Astyanax mexicanus: one gene and its partner. The protein of the gene in region 2 purifies or fractionates together with the protein of the main gene of each other region. This does not show direct contact. Links are inferred from orthologs where the notes say so. Each region holds a gene or a part of one and is shown on either strand. Other genes may lie near its edges.

The links. The genes of interacting proteins can lie anywhere in the genome.
Region 1: the proteins of dhx38 (region 2) and smek1 purify together in Homo sapiens (co-immunoprecipitation; 3 studies listed by BioGRID and IntAct, with this or other methods). This does not show direct contact. The link is inferred for Astyanax mexicanus from reciprocal best matches to the Homo sapiens genes DHX38 and PPP4R3A.

Annotation. Positions count from the first base shown.
Region 1 is NC_064408.1:51,831,329-51,839,072, forward strand, and holds the start of smek1 (serine/threonine-protein phosphatase 4 regulatory subunit 3), read left to right. Parts: upstream 1-4,736; 5' UTR 4,737-5,656; coding exon 5,657-5,798; intron 5,799-5,896; coding exon 5,897-5,952; intron 5,953-6,527; coding exon 6,528-6,626; intron 6,627-6,832; coding exon 6,833-7,450; intron 7,451-7,744. Other genes in the region: erh (enhancer of rudimentary homolog), read left to right, coding at 1,620-1,707, 1,793-1,913, 2,704-2,806. UniProt on the Homo sapiens protein: Regulatory subunit of serine/threonine-protein phosphatase 4. May regulate the activity of PPP4C at centrosomal microtubule organizing centers.
Region 2 is NC_064423.1:36,778,093-36,785,272, forward strand, and holds the start of dhx38 (pre-mRNA-splicing factor ATP-dependent RNA helicase PRP16), read left to right. Parts: upstream 1-4,172; 5' UTR 4,173-4,253; exon of another isoform or gene 4,254-4,340; intron 4,341-5,804; 5' UTR 5,805-5,865; intron 5,866-7,180. UniProt on the Homo sapiens protein: Probable ATP-binding RNA helicase. Involved in pre-mRNA splicing as component of the spliceosome.

The DNA.
Region 1 (7,744 bases), on a different chromosome or scaffold from region 2:
TTTCAATGTTTATTAAGGAGCTGGGTGTTCCAGTTCGCGGTTCAGTAATCCTGGTTTATAAGAGGGCAGAAGGTTAGCTGGGTTAACAGAGGAAACTAGTGTAGAGTGAGCTGTATTTAGACTCCACTGCTTTCTGGCAAAATGTTTACTAACATTAGGAAATCTCTCTGGTTCAGGTAGATAAAGTAGATAATTGACTGTGTGAGCTGCTTTTACCTTTACGAGCAATTCAAGCTTCAGAAAGTCAAGATGTGTGTCCATGAAAACCTCTTTCTCCCTCTCCATGCAGCTGTCGGTGTGTGGAGTGTTAACTGTGACTAGTGCTGGACGATATGGCCAAAATTTATATCACGATATATTTCTTAAATTTCGGTCGATACGATATAATTTCGATATTGATATAAATACTTTGAAGGCCTCAGAAAACTGCTAAGAAGCCCTGCAATCCCTGCAGCACTGCGAATTTAAATTATTATATAACTGTGTATTTGCACTTTTTGTATGGCTGGCATCACATACCCTCATTATATGCCTATCTATCTATCTATCTATCTATCTATCTATCTATCTATCTATCTATCTATCTATCTATCTATCTATCTATCGGAAACCTGTACCTACTACTGTCTGAAAATTTAATTTAAGCCTTTGAAACCTCCTTTCACAAAAGCTTTAATACTTTAGAAATAAAAGTAGTCAAAATAAATCAATGCTCAATTTTATTTGCATATAGCAAAATAATAACATGACATCCCTGTCAAACATAAGCCTATATAACTATTACCAATAAAAATAACTTTAAATTACAACAGAGGCAGAGCTTCTTATTCTTTGTGAACAAATTTAACAGATTAAAACAAAAGTGTTTCAACTAGGATATAGAATACAATAAGCCTTTATAAACATCAAAACAACAAGATTTTCCCGTCAAATAAACAAACCTACAGGCTTTATCAACTATGAATAACTTAGTTACAACATAAGCTGTAAAAGTGCTTCAGTCAGTATAAGAAAAATATTGTATGTAGTGGAGTTGCTTGAAGTGGTGGAACAGTTTAGATGTATTAACATTACCGCTGCTGGTCGGCTGCACTCTCCGGCACAATTTGTAGCAAAGCGGCCGAGCGAGCGGACCCGCGGCCGAGCGAGCGGACCCGCGAGCGGACCCACGGCCGAGCGAGCGGACCCACGGCCGAGCGAGCGGACCCGCGGCCGGCCTCGAGGATCCGGGGCCGACTGAACCGAGTCTACCTTAGCCTTGGATCCGCTCGTCCCGGCTCCGTTTGGCTCCAGCGAGAGACATTTTTGCTGCGTAGCGAAGCGGACCCGAGCCTAGCCATTTTAACCTAGCCTTGCCTAGCCTAGCCTATTTGGCTACGTGCCTGTGTGGTTACGTCATCACGCACTGACGTAGCCCAGCTACAGGGGCTGAATGTGTTGAGCTCTGCAGCGAGCTGACGCCAGTAAAAGACGCCTGTCCGTGATTCTAATACATATCGATATACCACAAAACTGATATCACCGTTATTGAAACATTTCTTATCGCGATAAATACCGATATCGAATTATTGTCCAGGCCTAACTGTGACCCTTCATGATTTCCTGCTTCTCTTTTTCAGTCTCACACAATTCTGCTGGTTCAGCCTACAAAAAGGCCAGAGGGAAGAACTTATGCTGATTATGAGTCTGTGAATGAGTGCATGGAGGGTGAGCTCTATAAAATCAGTCCATGGGTTTATGGGTTTAGGGTGTGTGTGTGTTTTACCTCTTCTTCCTCTTTTTTTCTTTCTAGGGGTGTGTAAAATGTACGAGGAGCATCTAAAAAGAATGAATCCCAACAGCCCCTCCATCACCTATGATATCAGCCAACTGTTTGATTTTGTGGATGACCTCGCTGACCTCAGCTGTCTGGTGTAAGTGTCCACATTAAATGAATCTTGTGTGTAAACAAGGCATGAATGTTAATCGCTGAAAACTTCACTGTTGTTTTCATGAAAGTGAATAAACATATTGCACATCTCCAAAAATTTTTTTAGGATAAGGTAAACAAACAAACCTTTTTGACTTGATCATGTAACAAGATTTAAAGTGACAGTCCATACATTTTGGTTGAGAATGAGTAATTGCACAGAATGTTAAAGTTCTTTAAAAATGTGCATTGTATAAGCACTAATAGCAGCACTGCAAATGCTCAGGTAAACAGCTAAAGCTACCAGACCCCCTGTTTTTAGAACTAATATCTATGGTTTTACAGTAATGTTTGCAGAAACCCATAAAAATAAAAATCTTAAGAACTGCTGCTTTAAACAAATCTGATATTTTGGACTATTCATCATTACATTACATCATTTCTGTAAAACAATTAAAAAGAAAATGTATTGAGCTACAGTGTTTTGCTTAACACTTACTATGAGTTGTTACTTGTTTGGCTGGTTTCTCTAATTAGGTTTGGCCCAAATCTGGATTAATGTACAGTGACATTGCTTATGCAGTTCAGTGCTACAATATGCTTAATCCATGTGATCTGAACTGTACGATGCTTGTGGAAAACTAGCCTACCAATTTGAATAAGCTATTATCTATATCTATACTACCGAACATCTGCAGCCTCTGCGTAAGTTTGACTGTGAGTACAATATTTTTAGGAATACTTAAAGGATAATACATGATTGTGTGGATTTCTCTCTCTGCTGATTTGAACAGGTACCGGGCAGACACACAGACATACCAGCCCTACAATAAAGACTGGATCAAGGAGAAGATCTATGTCTTGCTGAGACGCCAGGCTCAACAAGCAGGGAAATAGAAGATGAAGGGACATTTCACATTGGCTGCAGCAAATCGTCTGTCATTTGTTACCTTAATGAGAATTACACTGCATTATTGGGCAATGTAAACAAAACCCAGGTGGGTTTCCTAAAAGTACTGTAGGGTTAAGACCTTTTTATCTGTTACTAGGAAACTGATTCAGTTAAAACTTGCAGGTCTTTGCCACAGTGTTTTTGGGAAACTCAGTGTTCTTATGTTGATATTATGTTGATAACATTTGTGTACTCTTAATGCCAAGAAAGATTTACCATCAGAATACCTTTATCTGGCTCTAGAGTGCTTGGGGTGGGTGGGGGCATGGGCAGTTGGACCCATTGCAGTGGGGTTTATTAACTGGACAGGAGGGTTCAATTTGAAGGATTTTTTTTAAAGATATATATTTTGTATCATCCTCCCTCAAACTTTTTTAAATATAATTTCAAAAGTTGTTTTCTGTGATTCTCCAGTAGTTTACACTGAATCTGCATTCTGTATAACGATTCTAAAGCTGTCCATGCTTGCCGCTTAATAAACTTGTTTGGAGTGGTTTTAGTTTGGTTCTTTTCTCCTTTGTCCCTAAAGCAGTAGACGTGGTACACAAATTTTATATGGTTACAATAGGACCCACCAATCTGAGCCACTAAAACAACTGACTGATGTGTTTTTCATTGTGTGGGAGATTTTTCCTTGGTTGCCTTTGCATCCCTTTTTAGAACCGGTTTGTGTGTGCTTCCCTTTTTCCACAGTTTATATAAAGGTGAATTTACATTGTTACAGAGATGTTTGTGTTAAACGAAAGCATATTGTGTGAAAGATGTACGTTTAGACTTAATAATTTTCTGTTTTTGTTAACTGCTTGGAATGTTTTTTTTTCCCTTTTTTTAAATCCAATTTGGCTGTTAATGACTGTAACTTTTTAAGTGGCTCACCATTGTTTATTTTGTCATTTACTATAATAAACAGTTAAAATAACAAATTTTAACTTTGTGTGTGTTATTTTGAAACATATTAACAGGTAATCTAGCAAGTACATTTTGGGAACGTGTGGAACAAAACATGTCTCTTGTAAACTGCAAGGTCAGAGTTTCAATTTTTGTTGGACCTCTGTCAATGGAATGTGTATCACTTGAATTTTCTGACTTATGGATTTTATATTTTTATAGTGAACAAGAAATAGGTTATCATCTAGTTTTTTGGCACCTCCCCCTCATATTTTTTTTTTATTTGATTTTTGCATTTTGTAACAAAAGTAGGTCATCATTTGGTACAAGATGTAAAAAAGAACAATTAGAAAATTGGAGTACATCCAATTTCTTGTACATTATATTGAATGAGGAAGCAATATAATTACGTTTTATACCCTATTTTCTATTTTCAAATTTAATGTCATAGGTCAAAATGTTTTGTGTCGAGATTAACCAGTTTTTTTCCAATGTGTTGTACAGTGTGATTGTGAATAGGTTTATACTATGTTGTACAATGTGTTTGTGAAAGGTTAATAGTGTGTTGTACAATGATTGTGAAAAGGTTTATAGTGTGTTCACTGTAATGGTGAATAGGTTTACAGTGTGTTGTACACTGTGATTGTGAACAGTTTTAAAGTGTTGTGTACACTGTAGTTGTAAATATGTCTGTAGTGTATTGTAAAGTGTGATTGTGAGCAGGTTTGTAGTGTTGTACACTGTGATTGTGAATAGGTCTAAAACTGGTTTGTATGTGATTGTGAATAGGTCTATAGTGTGTTGTACACTGTTTGTGAACAGTTTTTTCTGTGTGAGTTTACTTTGTGTATATTGTGTGTTCACTGAGTTGATTTTGTGTGTGTGTGTGTGTTTACTGTGTGAGTTGATTGGGATTGTGTGTGTGTGTGTATTGACTGTTGCTCTGTGCCTTTAAACGGTGGCGGGCCGCCCTGCGCTCGATGCGTAGGAAACCCCGTACATGCTTTCTGAGGGGACCCAAGATGGCCGAACACTTACAGTGGGGCTAATAATTACTCTCGTCCAGACGGCGCGGTTTGATGGTGCTCGGCGGTTTGCCCGGGACGTTTGTTGTAGAGGGGAGTTTGTCGAGCTTGTCTGTTCAGCCGCTCCGGCTTCACACGCTCGTCTGCGTTTGAGGAAAGGCTGGTCCTTCCACGGCCCTCAGCCAGAACATGGCGGAACACTTGGCCAAAATATAAGCGTTAGCTAGCGGGGCTGCGAGCTGCTGCCGCTGCCGCCTACTTATCATGAGCGCACGGAGCTGTGCGGGTTCCTACAGCCGCGTTCACACTTCCACAGGCAGGGCGGGATTATAATGGGGCAGTAGAGGCGTTTCTTTCTCCTAAATCAACTGTGTTATTAGCGCTAGTCGGAAGAATGTTTGGGGAGAGCAGATAGCCCGCTAGCTAACAGCTAGCTCAGCTCGTTAGCAGTGGTGGTGGGCTCGGTTGGAGGAATTAGGGCAGCTGAAAACGAGCCCCCTCTTCTCCTGTGAGCTGTGCGCTCCACCCGCGCAGATATCCCGGGTTCAGAGCCGGAGTCGGAGAGGAGAAACGCGGCTGTGGTCGGCGACTCGGCGATACCGAAGGGCACTGACTAGCTAACTATGCTGCTGCGGACGGAGTCAACACACACACAGACCGCTAGCTTAGCCTAGCCGGCTAAGGCTAGACTGACTGGAGCAGCGCGCTAGCATCGACACCAGACGCAGCCGAGCGCTAGAGAGCTAAATGTCGCGTTTCTACAGAGAAGACTAAACAAGATACGCTTAAAGTAAAAGGGAGGGAGCCGCCTCCAACACCCAGATTTAACCAGGATAGTCTCACACCATCACCTGCTCCAGTGTTTACAAGCGACTCGCAAGAATGACTGACACTCGGCGGCGGGTGAAGGTCTACACTCTGAATGAAGACCGGCAGTGGGATGACCGAGGGACGGGCCATGTGTCCTCCGGATACGTCGAGAGACTCAAAGGCATGTCGCTGTTGGTGCGCGCCGAAAGTGACGGTAAGTTCATCTCAGAGAAACCAGCTGTGTGTCGGATTGTGTGGCACGGTCTGAAGTGATGAGTGGATACTGATCACCCCACCTCTTCAATTTCCCAGGGTCTCTGCTGCTGGAGTCAAAAATTAACCCCAACACCGCCTATCAAAAACAGCAGGTGAGTCCAAGTTTTACAGCTGGGCTATTATAATAATAGAACGACATTCACAATACCACTATAGGGCCGTCCAATAATTGGACTATACAATGTGTATCTCAATACAGTTGTTACTGTTCAACATATCACAGTGTTTTGCTATAATGTTTTGACATGCGGACAGCATGCATCATTCAATGTTTGCTGCACATAATCTAATTAAACATAATTGTTCACTCTCTTTACTGAAATGTAAAATTTAAAGTAGTCTTGAAGTACTGATCACCTCGATATGCTTCAAAAAGCATGTTGTCAATGCAATTAATACAAGTGCACATTTTTAACTGTCACACGAACATGAAATCCAGGACATTATGAGCTTGTGTGCAGTTTGTTTATTTACTTTTCAGTAAGTTAAAACTTTAGACTGCAGCTCTGTATGCAAGCAGACATATCCAGCCAGTAATTCTATCTCTAGCCTGGCATCATACAGCGGAAAAAAGTCAATGCCAGCCAAAGCTACGCATGACTGTTTTGTATCTTGACTTTTTTTTAATGTAAATTATATCTGATTCTTATGTTTTCTCTTCAATTAGGACACATTAATTGTGTGGTCTGAAGCAGAAAACTATGATCTGGCCCTCAGTTTTCAGGAGAAAGCTGGCTGCGATGAGATCTGGGAGAAGATATGTCAGGTGATTTGAACATGCAAACCAAATGTATTTGTCTAGCACTTTTGTAATGTTTACGGCAGTGCTGAGCCCAACATCAGTATTTTTCATATATTTGCTTCTTTCTTATTATTTTTATTTATTTTTCATTATTTTGCTCATATGTTCTATATTTTTGGATCCTCTCTCCCATATATTTTATTCTGCTTATTTGTGTTTGTTTGGTTCAGGTTCAAGGCAAGGACCCCTCAGTGGACATTACCCAGGAGCTCATTGATGAGTCAGAGGAGGAGCGCTTTGAGGACATGTCCTCCCCTGGGCTGGAGCTGCCTCCTTGTGAGCTCTCTCGTCTGGAGGAGGTGGCCGAGCTGGTAGCCTCGTCGCTGCCCTCGCCCCAACGGCGTGAAAAACTGGCCTTGGCACTGGAAAACGAGGGCTACATTCGCAAGCTACTTGAGCTGTTTCGTGTATGTGAAGACCTGGAGAACCGTGAAGGCCTACACCACCTGTATGACATCATCAAGGGCATATTCTTGCTCAACCGCACTGCACTCTTTGAAGTCATGTTCTCAGAAGAGTGCATCATGGACGTGATTGGCTGCTTGGAGTTCGACCCGGCCCTGCCTCAGCCACGGCGCCACCGTGAGTTCCTTACAACTACAGCCAGGTTTAAAGAAGTCATCCCCATCACAGACCCAGAGTTACGTCAGAAGATTCACCAGACATACCGGGTCCAGTACATCCAGGACATGGTGCTGCCCACGCCGTCCGTGTTTGAGGAGAACATGCTTTCCACCCTGCACTCCTTCATCTTCTTTAACAAGGTGGAGATTGTTGGAATGCTCCAGGTGGGTGTCAGTGGAAGGGTTCCTAACAGTGTAAGGTGTCTTGTTGATGCCAAGGTCAACAGTCTAAACCACTGTTTAAGTATTACATCAGATTGACTGTGTGGGATTTTTAAAGCTACGTATACACATTTAATATCAGTATGTTCATAATAAAAAGGCACAAACCTTTATGCATTTATCACACACTCATTCCTAGCAATGCCTGTGTCAGCAACAGAATATTACAATAGATAAATGAAGTTACAGTTTCTTGTGATGTCACATTTAGAGTTTAATAAACCAGGTCACGAGAAT
Region 2 (7,180 bases):
CATTTAACTCTCTTTATTATTCTCTTTCTGATTCATACAGTGTGGTACTGAAAGATTACAGATGATGAAAAATGGTCCTAACACTTTTGCCCTTTTGTATTTTTTACACATATGTTTATGGAGATGTAATGAAGAGTATAATAACAGTAATTTATTCGTTGGAGAAGCTGATTTGTGGTTTTGTGTGTTTAATACTTGAACTGGTGAGCAGTCCACAAAGTCTATATTTCATATATACGTATATATATTTCATACGCAGATTATTCTATGCATTCTACAGTACGTTTTTTTTTTCTTCATCTCGTCGTTGCCGCCGACAGTTGTAGCGTGTGCTGTTTCACGTGTTCGATGCCTCAGAAGAGTTTGGTCCGTGAGCTGCCTTCCCCTGCAGTAGTGACATTGTTCTATATGTATGCAGATCTGTTCTTTGTTTTGTCTCTTAATGATTATATGTCTTTTCATATGCATATTCACTGTATTCTTTTTTTCTTTTCAGCCCATGCAGCTTTTTTTTTTCTTACTTTCAGTGCTTTTTACACAATCGGGTGGTTGAATGTTTTGTTAAATATGCTCTGATTTCATGTAATTGCACCCTGTATACACTCATTAACCAAAAATATTATAATAATGCACCAAGAATACAGTATATAAGTGATTACAATTTTACACCTGGTTTTAGACCACAATAATTGATTGTGGTGACGGACAGTTCTGGTGGAAACAGGAGAGTTGAGGTGCACATTGGATCCTTCCGTGATTTGATCAGCCGTGGTTTTCTGTTTTTTGGATACAATCTGGGTTAGCACCCGAACATCCCTTTCAGACAGCTTCCTCTTACAGCGTCCACAGTTAATCCTGTTGGATGTGGTTGATCCTTCTTGGTGGTATGCTGACATTACCCTGGATACCGTGGCTCTTGATGCATCACAAAGTCTTGCTGTCTTGGTCACAGATGCGGCAGCAAGACGTGCACCAACAATTTGTCCTCTTTTGAACTCTGGTATGTCTCCCATAATGTTGTGTGCATTCCAATATATTGAGCAGAACTGTGCTCTTACCCTGCTAATTGAACCTTCACACTCTTATTGCTCTTACTGCTGCAATGTGCAATTAATGAAGATTGGCCACCAGGCTGCTCCAATTTAGTCATGAAACCTCCCACACTAAAATGACTGGTGTTTCAACAGTTTCATAGTCCATCCTGGCATCCCAGCTGATCCAATAAATTCCTTATTGGTAATAAATTTTGCGTCCAGACAGGCCAAAGTTTGTGGGAACAAGCATTATCCTGCTAAAAAAAGCCCTGCATATTTTAATGAGCTGTTATTGTGCTTCTTATCACTACTACTGGTGAGCAGTGACATGCTGATGAACAGTCTGGATGGTGTGCATGCTGGTTCTTTCAGTCCAATGGTGCATACCCTCCTACAGTCTGTCAAATGTGCAAAATGTCTATAAGTACATTGTAGAGGTGTGTCTAGCTGTCTGATCTCTCACCTGGAGGTACACTACCCAAAAGAGTATAGTGCAAATGAGAGCCTTTTTATATAGAGCTCTGAAAAAAAAAGAAACCACTTCAGTTTCTGAATCAATTTCTCTGATTTTGCTATTTATAGGTTTATGTTTGAGTAAAATGAACATTGTCGTTTTATGCTATAAACTACAGACAACATTTCTCCCAAATTCCAAATAAAAATATTGTCATTTACAGCACTTATTGCAGAAAATCAGAAATGGCTCTAATAAAAAAAAATGAGGCAGAGCTTTCAGACCTCAAATAATGCAAAGTTTTAAGAGTTCAGAAATCAATATTAGGTGGAACTGTGTTTTCATGCATCGTGGCATCATGTTCTCCTCCACCAGTCTTACACACTGCTTTTAGATAACTTTATGCCTTTACGCCTGGTGCAAAAATTCAAGCAGTTCAGTTTGGTATGATGGCTTGTGATCATCCATCTTCCTCTTGATTATATTCCAGAGATTTTTCAATTTGGTAAAATCAAAGAAACTCATCATTTTTAAGTGGTATATATATATATATATATATATATATATATATATATATATATATATATACAAAGTAGCCTGAGTCTGTTTTGCAGGTCTGTATTATTTTTTGGTGAATGAGTGTATAATATATTATTGGCTGTAGGTTTTGAGCACAGTGTAATAATGAGTGTGATAAGAGCAAATTAAGATTCTGGTACTTTGTGATCTCCTCTCAGATTGTAGTCTCTGATCATCAGCTGAGTATTTAATAATAAATCATTCATAAATCATTCCGCCTCATTTTAAAGTGTAAATACGTGATTGCTCCTGTGTGCAGTTCCACCACAGCACTGCTTTGCTCTGTGTGAACATTGTGTACATCTTCCTGGCTGTCCGATATATTTTAAATTGTCTTGATTTGAGAGAAGCTGTACGTTTCTTTAAAATACAGCGGAAGAAAATGAACTCTGACTCTGTGTGTTTGGTCTAAATTTTGGATACATTATTGATGAAGCCTTCACAGACATGAAATTATATGCCTGATATATTTAATTAAATAATATTGTGATCAAAATGTTCTAAAGTGCCCTCTACAGTGTTAAAATGGAAAGATCTATTTATTTTTGTTTCTTAATAGGAACTTGCTCATTTTTTATGTAGATAAATAGATACATAGATACAATTTCCATTATGAAAATTGTTGAACATTTATAAATGATTAGATAAATAAATATGTAGATATATTTCATATTTCATGTAGATATATTTCATATAGTTCATTATTAAATTATTAAACATATATTTATAAACTCTGCTGAATGCTCTATAGGAACCAATTAATTTCATGTAGATAAATAGATATGGAGATATGTAGATACAATTTTTAGTATGAAAATTATTAAACATGTATAAACTCTGATTTTGCTCAAGTGCTTTATAAGAATCCATAATTTATGTAAAAAAATAGATACATTTATCAGTTGATTATTAAATTATTAAACATTTGTATTTCTTAAACTATGGTTTTGTTTTATTGAACCAACTCATTTTATCTAGATAAATAGATATGTAAATACATTTATCAGTTAATTATTTAATTATTAAAAATGTAATTTTACACACTCTGGTTTAGATCAGTTGCTCCGTAGGAAGCCATTAATTTCATCTAGATAAGTAGATACATTTTTGATATGAAAATTGTTAAATGTGTATAAACTGATTTAATTGAATAATCTGAGTTTCCCTGAATGCTTCATAAAAGCCCATTAATGTATGTAGATAATTAGATGAATTTACACATTTTTCACATTTAAAATTATTAAACTTTTTATAAACTTTAATTTTCTCATTTTTTATGAGAACAATGTAATATTATGTAGTTAATATATATATATATATATATATATATATATATATATATATATATATATATATATATATATACATATATATATATATATATATATATATATATGTATATATATATATATACATATATATATATATATATATATATATATATGTATATATATATGTATATATATATATATATATATATATATATATATATATGTAGATAAGTTGAAACATTTTAAATATACATGTTAATATGTTAAAGTACATGTTATAATGATTAAACATTTATAAACCTTTGATAAAACTTTGTGCTCAATTGTTTCCCAGCAGCCCATTCATTTTATGTAGATAAATAGATATGTAAATACATTTATTAGTTAACTATTAAATTATTAAACATTTCAATTCATACACTGATTTTGTTCAGTTGCTCCAAAGGAAGCCATTCATTTTATGTATATATGTGTATATATTTATCAGATAATTATTAAATTATTAAAGATTTATATTTATAAACTCTGGAATTGCTCGGTCGCTCCAAAAGAATCCATTCATTTTTTTAAAGATAAATAGATATGTAGATAAGTAGATACATTTTTCAGTATAAAAATGATTAAACATGTATATATAAAAAACATGATTTTGTTCGAATGCTTAATAAGAGCCCATTAATTCATGTAACTAGATACATAGATGTTGTGATACATTTATCAGTTAGTTATTAAATAATTAAATATTTATATTATTAAACTCAGATTTTGCTCAGCTCTATAGAGACCCATTCATTTTTTTGAACTGCTCTCGAGACTCTTATTGTGAAGTGTCGTGTTTTCCGCTTCTTGTATTATGGGATAGCGATGGCGGTCCGCTGTACGCAGGTTGGACGCGGTTAGCTTGGTGTTTTTAGGGTAAATATCTTCATTTAGTGTCTTATTTCTGATTTTACCCGCCGCGCTGAGACCTGCTGTATATCCCGGAGTGTATTAGTGTGAGAGGTGGGCGGATAAGGGCTTTCTTCGGGGTTTAATCCGCGGTTTTAGCCGCTGTGTGTGTGTTTGTTCTGTGTTTGTTAGCGTTAGCTGCTCCGCTCACTCAGCTGTAACGTTACTGAGTTCAGTAAAGTTACCTGATTACAGACTGAGATTCGCTCAATTAATTATTCTCTAATTATTCTAGTCTATTACAGCGTATCCGAGTTAGCAGATAATGGGGTTTAAATGTAGGAAAATAGCTGTAATATTACAGTGTTTTGTGGCTTTTGGCTCATGGTTCTGTTAGCTAACGGTAGCAAACATTCTCGTTAAATTAGTTTAACCTAACCTAGCTATTTAGGTTAGCTAACTAGACTAGATACATTTTATTTGTGTATTTAACCAGTAAATTAACACGGAAAAAGGAGGATATTATAAGTTAGTATAAGATAATTCAAATTAAATTAATATAACCTAACTAGCTAGGTTGGTTAGCTCGTTACCTCATTTCAAACAGACCTGATTTAAAACTGTTTTGGCTTTTTATAGTGAAAAACGTTTTATCTCCAAATAAATAATAAAGACCTTGGAACCACTAATTTACTGTTTAATTAAAAGACAAACATTTACAAATGTTGGGATTTATTTCTACTGTCTGTATAAAACATTACTAAAAGTATATTTTATATTAGTATTTATTTTTTTGCAGTAGTGTACACTTGAATAAAATAATTTGTTTGAGAGAATTCCAGTTAAATAATATAACCTGGCCAGCTAGGTTAGCTAGTTAGTTACCTTTCCAAACACATCTGATTTAAAACAGCCTTTTTTAGTTAAAGAAATAGTTTTAGTATGCTTTAATTGCCGTTAAAATATTATGGATTAACTAGCTAGGTTAGCTAGTTACCTCATCTTTTGTTGATGCATTACTCTAGTTTTGTTTCATTTTTAACTTTTATTAGACTTATTATTTTGTATAAAAAGAGTGTATAAAACATTGTATACTAAAAATATATATTATACATATTAAGATTCATTATGTTGCAGTAGCTAGTTACCTCATTTTAAACACACCTGATTTAAAACAGCTGTGGCTGAATCCTTTACATTTTTAAGTTATGTTTTCAAATGTATTTATGTATATTTAAGTAGTTAAAAGGACAGGATTTTAATGTGCAAGAGCAAACAAATTAACATACTAGGGTTAAAAAAGGGAAAAAAATGTTTTATTTCGAGTTATATATTTAAATATATAAATAAAATATATATTACATTGAATATATATTAAAACAGTATATATTTATGTCCACAGAAAAAGGCTGGGTCATTGGTGTTCTACTTTTCAGCATTAAGATTAGTATAAATTGAATTTGTAGTAAACCTGTTAGTAATGATGCACTCATGTCAGAATATTAGAACACAGCTTTTATTTGTTCATTAATTTGGTCATATTTTAATGAAGTTCTGACTTTGCTTTGTGTTTCTCAGACAGGCACTGAGATATTATGCAAGAGACCAATGGGTTCTTCACACCAGCTTTTTAAATAAGGTTAGTAACACCCCTCCGTCCCACACACCTCCTTCACCTCTTTTTTTTTTTTTTTCTTCTTCTCACTATTTCAAGTCCTTTTTCACACCGGGAAGTCTAGACCAGAGTTAGCACAAATCTTCATGTGAATGTTGTTAATACGGTGAGTTATCTTTACAGGTTGTGCTGAATTCTGACTCCCTATAGCAGCATGGATGATTATGAATAAATCAAAAATCATGAAGTGAAGAGGGACTAAGTTGGCATCAAAGCAAACAGTGCTACTTTGAATCACCTAAAGTATAAAACATATTTAGGCTTGTTTAAGTTCTTCAAGTTTTTCATAATCGCATATAGGCCTGGCACAATAACTTTTTTTGTGAACATTATGTTGTCAGAAATGATTGTGAAAAACGATAGTAATGATAACATAATATCATAAAAGAATTGCACCCTTTTAAAGACGTTAAACTTTCCATTCCTGTTCACACGCCTAATTTTGGAACCCGAAAAGTTCCCAGCCTGAACCAAAGTAGCTTATAGTAGGTTCTTCAACATATATATACATATACACATTGTGAAATGTGGAGGCAGGGGAGCTGTGGGTTGACGTGCAGCCCCGGTCTGCCCCAGCTGGCCCACGTTGGACCAACATAAAGAGACACTAAAGTTAAGCGACTAGAGCCGTACTGGGTGTTTCTATGTTTCATTAAGTTTGTTTTGGGTGTTGATGGAGGACATTTTTCCTAATAAAGGTACAATTTGAGTTCATTCACTCCCTGTGTCTGTGTCTCTCTGTGCTTCCGCATTACCAGGTCACACTCACAGTCACAATATATGTAAGTGCAAACACAATGGACGATATCACGATTATTAAAATGATTGAGGTCACGTCCATTTATTGAACGATAAGTCGATTGAGTAATTATTGTGACGGGCCTAATTGCATATGCATTCCTTTATAGTTTTGATGTATTCATCATTAATCTACAATGTAGAAAATATTAATAATAAAATAATTAAAAAAACATTAAATGAGTGCTAAATAGACTGGTACTTTGTGTTCTTTCTGTGTACCAAGTGCGGTCATGCCCCAAAGCTTTTCACTCACCTTTACATCCTTACTTAGAAGATATGAAAGTAAACTTGATTTGATTTGACTCTGGCCCTACTATATTTTTCTTATATGATTTTATGATACCTATTTTTGTTTAGACAATATATTGTCCCAGAAATAATTGTGATAATATTATTGTTGTTATTTGATGAAGTTAATCTAATAGTATAACACAATTCCACACAAACCTTTTTATCCCCTTTACCAGGCCTTGGTCTG